Daphnia pulex: one gene and its partner. The protein of the gene in region 2 interacts with the protein of the main gene of each other region in a biochemical or structural test. Links are inferred from orthologs where the notes say so. Each region holds a gene or a part of one and is shown on either strand. Other genes may lie near its edges.

The links.
Region 1: the proteins of transcription elongation regulator 1-like (region 2) and splicing factor 1-like form a complex in vitro, tested with the Homo sapiens proteins (3 studies listed by BioGRID). The link is inferred for Daphnia pulex from reciprocal best matches to the Homo sapiens genes TCERG1 and SF1.

Annotation. Positions count from the first base shown.
Region 1 is NC_060027.1:2,739,709-2,743,732, forward strand, and holds the start of splicing factor 1-like, read left to right. Parts: upstream 1-1,198; 5' UTR 1,199-2,200; coding exon 2,201-2,645; intron 2,646-2,789; coding exon 2,790-2,865; intron 2,866-3,438; coding exon 3,439-3,591; intron 3,592-3,653; coding exon 3,654-3,760; intron 3,761-3,825; coding exon 3,826-3,980; intron 3,981-4,024. UniProt on the Homo sapiens protein: Necessary for the ATP-dependent first step of spliceosome assembly. Binds to the intron branch point sequence (BPS) 5'-UACUAAC-3' of the pre-mRNA. May act as transcription repressor.
Region 2 is NC_060019.1:12,732,105-12,736,338, forward strand, and holds the start of transcription elongation regulator 1-like, read right to left. Parts: upstream 2,818-4,234; 5' UTR 2,668-2,817; coding exon 2,658-2,667; intron 2,568-2,657; coding exon 2,095-2,567; intron 2,031-2,094; coding exon 1,871-2,030; intron 1,807-1,870; coding exon 1,565-1,806; intron 1,500-1,564; coding exon 1,454-1,499; intron 1,397-1,453; coding exon 1,316-1,396; intron 1,248-1,315; coding exon 1,153-1,247; intron 1,092-1,152; coding exon 959-1,091; intron 901-958; coding exon 675-900; intron 614-674; coding exon 468-613; intron 408-467; coding exon 303-407; intron 247-302; coding exon 110-246; intron 47-109; coding exon 1-46. UniProt on the Homo sapiens protein: Transcription factor that binds RNA polymerase II and inhibits the elongation of transcripts from target promoters. Regulates transcription elongation in a TATA box-dependent manner.

The sequences.
Region 1 (4,024 bases), on a different chromosome or scaffold from region 2:
ATCCCGAGCATCCAATTGCTGTTGATGTGTATGTGGATGTGTGCGCTTCCACCCGATGTTTATCGTCACAGTTCTTTCTCTCTTTTTTTATGATTTAAATTGCCCTCGTCTCCTTATTATGATTTTTTTTGTTTCCCGTCAGTATCTCGTCTTCATTCGAACTTTACAGTCGTCTAGACTTTGTGTTTTCATCATTATCCCCTCTTGAATCCTTGATTTCCAGGAACAATTGGACAATAAAGCACTTGTTTTTTCTTTTAAATTGCAGTCGTTTGGTTGTCATTGTGCGCCAAAGTAGAATTCGGCCGTGGAACGAACCAAAGAGCTTACAACATGGTATTCATTCTGTCCTTAATTATGTCCTTATAGAAACAGTAGGGGAAAGAAAAAACGGGGCGTTTGTGGTTGCGTCGACACCGATTGTAGTAGATTTATTGTGAGCAAAGTTTTTATTTTCACCTTGGAACAATCGAAATCAGGACGCAATAATTTGATCAGGAATTGGAATGGTTGTGTGTGTCCAAATACTGGAAATTCGAACGTAAACCAGTTGAGATAACGTCTTTAGATTGAATAGCAGATGAGTCAAACTGACCGTTGACTTTCTGGTTTACGATTCCCATACAAGTCCGTAAAACATTATCGCCTCTGCTGGTTTTTGAACTCATGAGCAGTGGGAGGAGTCGAGTTTACAATTGTCATTGACCTGAGAACAAAAAGAAGAAAGATGGGCTTCGTTGTGGGATTTTGTCGTGACGCTGGGGCCGGTTCTTTTAGGAAAATTAATAAATAAAGAAGCAGTGCCATCTAATATTCGTGAACTGAAATACCGTTGGTTTCAGGATTTGTCAAAAAATTATTTCAAAGGTAAAATTTAGGTGGCGATTTCAGTAGAAGGAAGAATTCGCGACTGTTCCACATATGCCAATTCTTTCATGTAAACAGAGCGCGACCATGTTCAGGATCGCGCAACCTCTCGCCAATTTTCATCTCCAATGGCGGTGAGGCAAACGATGGTCTCCTGTTCCAATTATATTACTATGTAAAAAAAAGGAAAAAACTAGTACCCAAAAACCCTGCCGACGCTGGGAAGGGCTAGTGGGTGTTTCCATGAGAAATAAACTTGCCAAGTCATCAGCCTCAATTAACCACTATCGTTATGAAGGGGAAAAAAACGACTGATAATTATCGTCATTAGTTATCTAGAAAATGGCCAGTGTGGTTGTAGAATTGTGGAATTCCAGCTTGGGATTTTCCACTGGAACTCAATTGCAAACAAACTGGTGAAATAACTTCCTGCAACTAGGACATTTTTATCTAATCACCCTCATCCCATTTAACTAATAACGCTATTCCAAAACACAAAACAAGTGACCGAAATTCAGTCGTGACTTTTTCACCTGTGGAGCAAAGTAAATTACATGTGGCCTTCTTAAATGAGTGGTGAAGTCGGACTATCGAAAACCGATTGATGTGATGGGCCTACATGACACGCAACAGGATAGATAATTATAATTGACGTGATTTATCAATGATTTTTTGAAGCCATAGTGCCATACAAACAAGCAATGATAGCAAAGCCAAGCAAAGCTGATTACGAAACCCATTCAGTGTGACAACTGTGACACCTTTATGTTATATTTCAAATGAGTCTGTTAGATTGTGGTACCTATTTAAATAGATTCTTGTCATTGACATGTTAGATTGTCGTGGTTTAACAATTATACGACCACATCATTTGGAAATACGAAAAAAATTCTTGCACGACTTTGGCCGTTACTTAGCGGTGAACTTTAAATTAGTGATTGTCTTATCATTCATCATAATCAAACCTCTAGATTTTAGATTAATTTATGGTTACTAAAGGTTTTGTAACTTTTGTTGTTGGCACTCGGCAATGAAAAGGTTTTTAAACAAATGAAAGTGAAAGTGAATTACGATTTATAAATAAAGACCGAGCATTGCCACATTGCCAAGAACGAATCAAAATGCGAGTTAATCGATAAATTAAATTTTTCATTAATTTGACAATGTCGCGTCAGCCATCTTGGCGTCTCATCGCGTCGGGCAATAATTCGGCTCTCATCATTTCAATGTGCGCAAAGTTAGACGCATTCTATTTCTGACATTACGTGTTCGGTTAATTTCTGTCCGATTGTCCACGATTTCAATTGAATTTGACCATATTTTGCTATAAGTCATGCCGAGTAACGCTCATTCAACGGGTGCCAATACTACACCTCTGGGCAGGGTCAATCCAGCTCTCACCGGTGGAAGAAGACAAGCAACTTCTTCGCTTTTAAACCCGAATTATCTGAATTCGGATGATGAAGGCTCACACGGAAGCTACGAGCAAAAATATGAGCCAAAGTACGAAACAAAATACGAATCCAAATTTGATCAGCCATCTACAACTCCCAGCTACAGCTACCCCACATCATCTTCGTCCACTTCTGCCAGTGCCAACACCTGGAAACGTGGACTGGAAGATAGCAACAACTCAGATGACAATTCACTCGGTGGAGAGAAAAAGAAGAAGAGGCGTTCACGCTGGGGTGGAGATGAGAAAGAAAAGACCTTCATTCCGGGCATGCCAACTGTTTTACCAGCAAACTTGACAAAGGACCAGGAGGAGGCGTATCTAGGTAATAGTTCTGTGCATCTGTGTAACTTAATTTTTGAATATTGTGCATTCTCATCACTTGCGTACAGGAGTGCATATTCTGTCTTGTATGAGTGTATTAACTGATTCATCATAATATTGTGTGTATTGACTTGTGATTTTTCAGTCCAATTCAAGATTGAGGAGATAACACGGAAACTGAGGACTGGTGATTTAGGCATTGCTCCCAATCCAGAAGAAAGGTTTGATATATAAAGCCAATACTAATTCGTTTCTTTCCCAATTTTTCATAGTTAATCAAAATTAAATTGTTTATATTTCAATCTTTTTTTTTTTTAATTTGTCAGCTAGGCATAAAACAATTCATTCTTTTTTATCCATTGATTGATCTATATCCATTCCCTCCAAAGACCTTTCAGGTTCTTACAAATGAGCCTAGGTTGTGATGATTAATTGGTTGACATTTTAATCTTTTTTTCACCACAAACCGAAATCGTACTAATGCCGTCTGTTAGGTTCAGATGTAGGGAGCCTATAATTTGATTTTTTGAACCTTTACAGGACGTGCATTTATTTTCAAAGAAATATTCTAACGTTCAATATAGGCAATTTATACTTGCCATTTTTTAAAATTGCTTTTTATCTCGATTTTTCTCATTGCTCAGCTGGACGGATGGATAAAATTTCAGAACATTTAATCAATTGCAAAAATAATAACTTAATCAATTTACAATTATCCTCGTCTAAATTCAGAATAAGAAAAGATAGCTCATTTTCGTATTCCCTTTGTTCTTTTTTTCCTCCTTCATTTTCAGATCGCCATCACCGGAACCAATTTACGGGACGGATGGTAAAAGGCTGAACACCCGGGAGTACCGGATGCGTCGTAAGCTAGAAGAAGAGCGCCACTCCATGATCACCAAGATGATTTCCTTAAATGCTGACTTCAAACCCCCTGTAGACTACAAGTAAGATCATTTATCTTAGTTACCATGTCTGCCCTTACTTATCACTTTCCTTGTATTATTAGACCCCCTATGACGCGCGTCTCCGATAAAGTCATGATTCCGCAAGAGGAGCATCCGGAAATCAATTTTGTGGGGCTGCTGATTGGTCCACGTGGAAACACTTTAAAATGTAAGTTTTTTGTTTATTTATTTAACCGTAACATAACATTAAACCCGATCGTTATATTTTACCAGCTATGGAAAAAGACACTGGAGCTAAGATTATAATTCGAGGCAAAGGATCAGTCAAAGAAGGAAAAGTAGGTAAGCCTTTGCCAGGCGAAGATGAACCTCTGCATGCCTATGTAACCGCCAATAGTATGGAAGCCATTAAAAAAGCTGTCGATCGAGTGAGTATTTCCATCTTGAAGTAGAAAAAAGAACAATCAATGAC
Region 2 (4,234 bases):
AAACGATTTTGTGTAATTCTTTTTCCCAGGTTGAGAAAGCGGAAACCTAAAATAAAATTTCAATACTACGTGATGAATGAAAACAAACAAAGTTTTGCACTTGCGCTACCTCTTTCTCTGCCAACATGGCTTTAAACTGCTGAACACGATCCTCGAGGGGAATCACAGCTCTCTGCTGAGCAGCTTTCACCTCAGCCTCCATGGCAGTATCTTTGGTAGGTTCTTCGATTCTAACCTCTTCAATGACTGTAAATAGAGATTCTTTTCATTAAATTGTCTTTGGAAAATTTGAATGATGTTACCTTCGTCATTGATTTTGGATTTCTTTAGAGGAGGTTCATCGGTTCCGCTTTCGCTTTTCTTCTTTTTATCTGGCTTGATTTCTTTAATTTCATCTTTCTTATCAACTGCAAGGATAAAAACGTTACGAGTGCCACATTTCAAATTTAAAGAGTAGATATTGATACCTTGTTGAGGACTGTCATCGGGGACATTCGCTATCAACTTGTCGACGTCAGGTCGGTTTTTCAAATCTTCTGGTTTCTCCCAGACGGAAGAACGGGTACTTGGATTGAAAAAGAATACTCTTCCGTCACCAGTCCAAACAACGCACCTTCATGATAATAATAATAGTTGTATATATTGTAACTAAACTCCTTTAAAACCAATCGTACCATGGAGTTCCAGGCACCGGAGTGCTAGAAACGGGTCTGCTCTTGTCTTTCGGTACTTTAACTTCCTCTTTTTCCTTTGTTTCTTTCGCTGGTTCTGCCTTTTCAGATTCGGAGACTTTGGGTTCCTCTTTTTTCGCAACCTCGGGCATTGAAGCAGGCTGAACGGGTTGGGCAATTGGGACAGAAGGAGTGGCATGAACTCGGGCTGCTGCGGCAAGGCGAGCCACTACAACAAAGAGAAAACTTGAGAAAAACAGAACAAACAATAATAAGTTGGGAATTACCTTCATAATCTTTCAAAGCCTGTGGTTTTTCCCAAACACTCGATGATGATTTCACATTAAAGTAATAAGGCTTGCCATCAGGAGAACGGTATTCGCACCATTCCATTGCTTGTGACAATAGTATGGGATCAGTCTGAAAAACAAAACGCATTAAAAATTTGTACTGGATAAAAACTTGGTCAAAAGATGATTACCCCTGGATCAGATCCCAACATAACGGGATATGGAACAGGTCCAGCCGACAATGCAGGTGCAGGTGTTGGAGCCACTGCACCCCCCATGTTCCAACCTGGAAATTTAAAAAACCCTTAATATTATTTCTACTCTAGTTAAAATGAAACTAAAATGAATACAGACCTTGATGTGCTGGATAGAATGGCTGTTGAGCTCCAGGTCCATAGCTACCACCTTGAGTTGGTCCAGTTGGCATAGCCACTCCTGCCATTTAAATATAAAAATAAGTTTCGTTTTAAGGGCAATTATAAATGATCTTACCATTTTCTGGGGGCTTTGATGCTGCAGACTGTGCCATTGCTTCAACCTAGGAGTGAATAATAAAATAAGTTCAGGTTCTATTTAGGAAAGATGACTGATTTTACGAATTACCTGCTGCTGTGTCAAAACCTTTACGTTCGGCCCCTCGGGTCTAGTCCAAGTAGTCTCTCTTGATTTAGCATGATAATAATATGATTTACCATCTCCTGCTTTCGTTTCAACCCAGACTTCGTCAGTTGATGCGTCGATTTCACTAACTGGAGCTAGATGAGATTGCGGTTGAGACTGATGGGGTTGCTGGTATCCACCAGGTGCAGGAGCCATCCCAGATCCAGGATAACCAGGATGACCACCTATGTAATCCATTAGTGAAAGTTGAGTACCATGAAAAACTAAACACATTTCAAGACAACTTACCGTTACCGTATCCATGTGCTGTAGGCTGTTGAGGAGGCATATTTCCATAATGTTGATTATGGGGAGGTGGTACATTACCATAACTCGGAGGTGGTCCTTGTTGTGGTGGGCCACCCATGTAGCCCATGCCACCACCGTTTGGTTGATTAGGTGGACCTTGCTGTAAGTAAGATGTTTGTGAGTTATTGGACTACTGTCAACAGAGGCAACATTTCCTGACTTACCATATCCCATCCACCAGAGCCATCCATTGAATCGCCATTGCGACCACCATTCTGTTCCTGTGAAAAATGGGGTCTCATCTGTCGAGGATAATCACTATAGCCCTGCATCATATTTGGAGGTGGCCCTCGTGGCCCTCCCATCGGGCCCATACCTCTTGGTGGTGGGCCTTGGAAACGCTGAGGTGGACCTGGACGGGGGCCATGGAATCCACCATGTCCTCCTGGTGGTCCTCTCTGCATAAACGGTGGACGGGGGCCCATTGGACCACCTCCACCAAATGGTCTCATGCCAGGTCTCATGCCCATCGGTCCTCTAGGCCCCATTCCTGGTGGGCCTCTAGGTCCACCATAATGCTGTTGTTGATAAGACATGGGTGGGCCAAAGTCTCCATCATCGGCGAAATTCTCCTCATTTGCATTAGGGCCAGTGTTAGAGGGTCCCTCGATGAAAAATGAATCGTTGTTTTCGGACCCTGCAAGACAACGTTCAAATAAACTAGTAAGTAACGAATCTTGCTTTTTCTAGAGGAAGTGTCGTATAATAATCCATCAGATATATTTACCGCTATCCATTGTAGATAATTCAGATACCAGAAAGAATGATTATTGTCAACAACTTTTATTTAAACAAAATTTCTATTCCGGCGATGTGAGATTTGCTTGAGTCACAGCATTTTTGACGACCATTACTAAAGTGACGGTAGTTTACCAAACTGACGGTAGAGGGTGGTGAACAAGCAAAGCAAAATTAGCGCGAAATTCTTTCATGTTCAAATAGTTTAGCTTATGGATGATTTTACCAATTCTTTAGTTCATCGCGTTTTAAGTATTTGGAGTTTTGTATCGCTTTATTACACACATTACAAAGATTTTCTTGGCCAAAAAAAAAATAATTTAGGGAAGACATAGAGTTTGCCGACCGTGCTAAGCCATGGCTAGACGTTAAGATCCTTTTAATAGCTTTTGCTACCGCTTTCTTCGAATTCTTGAAAAGTTATTAAATTGTTTAGTGAGGTGTTCATGCAGAAAATGTCCAATTAGATGAAACGATTGCGCAACTGTTGTGTGGGGTCAGTTATGTATTGGCAATATTGCATTAATATTGAAATGTTAACAAAGAAAAAAGCCAATAAAGGATCTGACTTGGATCACTCATCTACCAGTTAAACTGTGATGGTGTTCGTTATGTTATACATGTTATATCACCTCTCAAGACATTGAGTATAAATCGTATAAAAAGTATAAATTCCACTCGCGCGGGAAGGAGAGTATCAATATAAGTTGCTCCAATTTTTGGATAGAAATAGAACATTTAAAAAGGGAGGTTTTAAGTAACATGTCGGGGTTTATATAGTACTATTTAATATTCTAATCTATGTAACATTGATATATAATTAAATGCTTGAAGGTAACATGTAGTATAGAATATGAAGAGATCAGTCACTCATATGTCTTGACCTGGTTGGTAGCGTGAGTTGAGCGCAATTGAATGATATTGCCATCAGACTCATACTTTGATCTAGACATTCATTTGGCAAAGGATGTGATAAAAATGTGGTTCAGGTATCATAACTCTAAACGCATGAAATACGTTAGAATAATGTTATAAATTGTCACGAGCTGAGCTTGTCTACTTGGATCATGAAATCCTAAATTTACAAGAATAAATGTCTGTTGTAAAAAGAGATAAATTTTTAAAAATATGAAAGCTGATGAACAAAGATGATAAGAAATAACAGTTCAGTAGGAAAAGGTGAGTGAATGATTGTCTTTATAAATTTTTGAAAATATGTGGAAAAATTGGCTTTTTCTTCTCCTGTGAATGCAAAGTAGAACCAACAACACAACTTGGTTGCAATATAGGTGTTCCAACAGGTCCTTTTACGGGTAGTGATTGATATGAAAGATAATAATTTAACGATTTATGAACACAAGTTCCTTCAGTCAAGGCTTGAAAATGATGGGTATAAATAACATTTTCCAATAAAAAAGAAAAAAAAAAAACTTAAGTTAGGTCATGGTTTGATGCCATGTCTAATAACTGTGAGAAATCCCACATTTCACCAGGAAATGTGTAGTGATGCAAAGGAAAGCCTCTACCTAATATTAATATCTAAAAGCAGCAGGTGACCAATTGAAT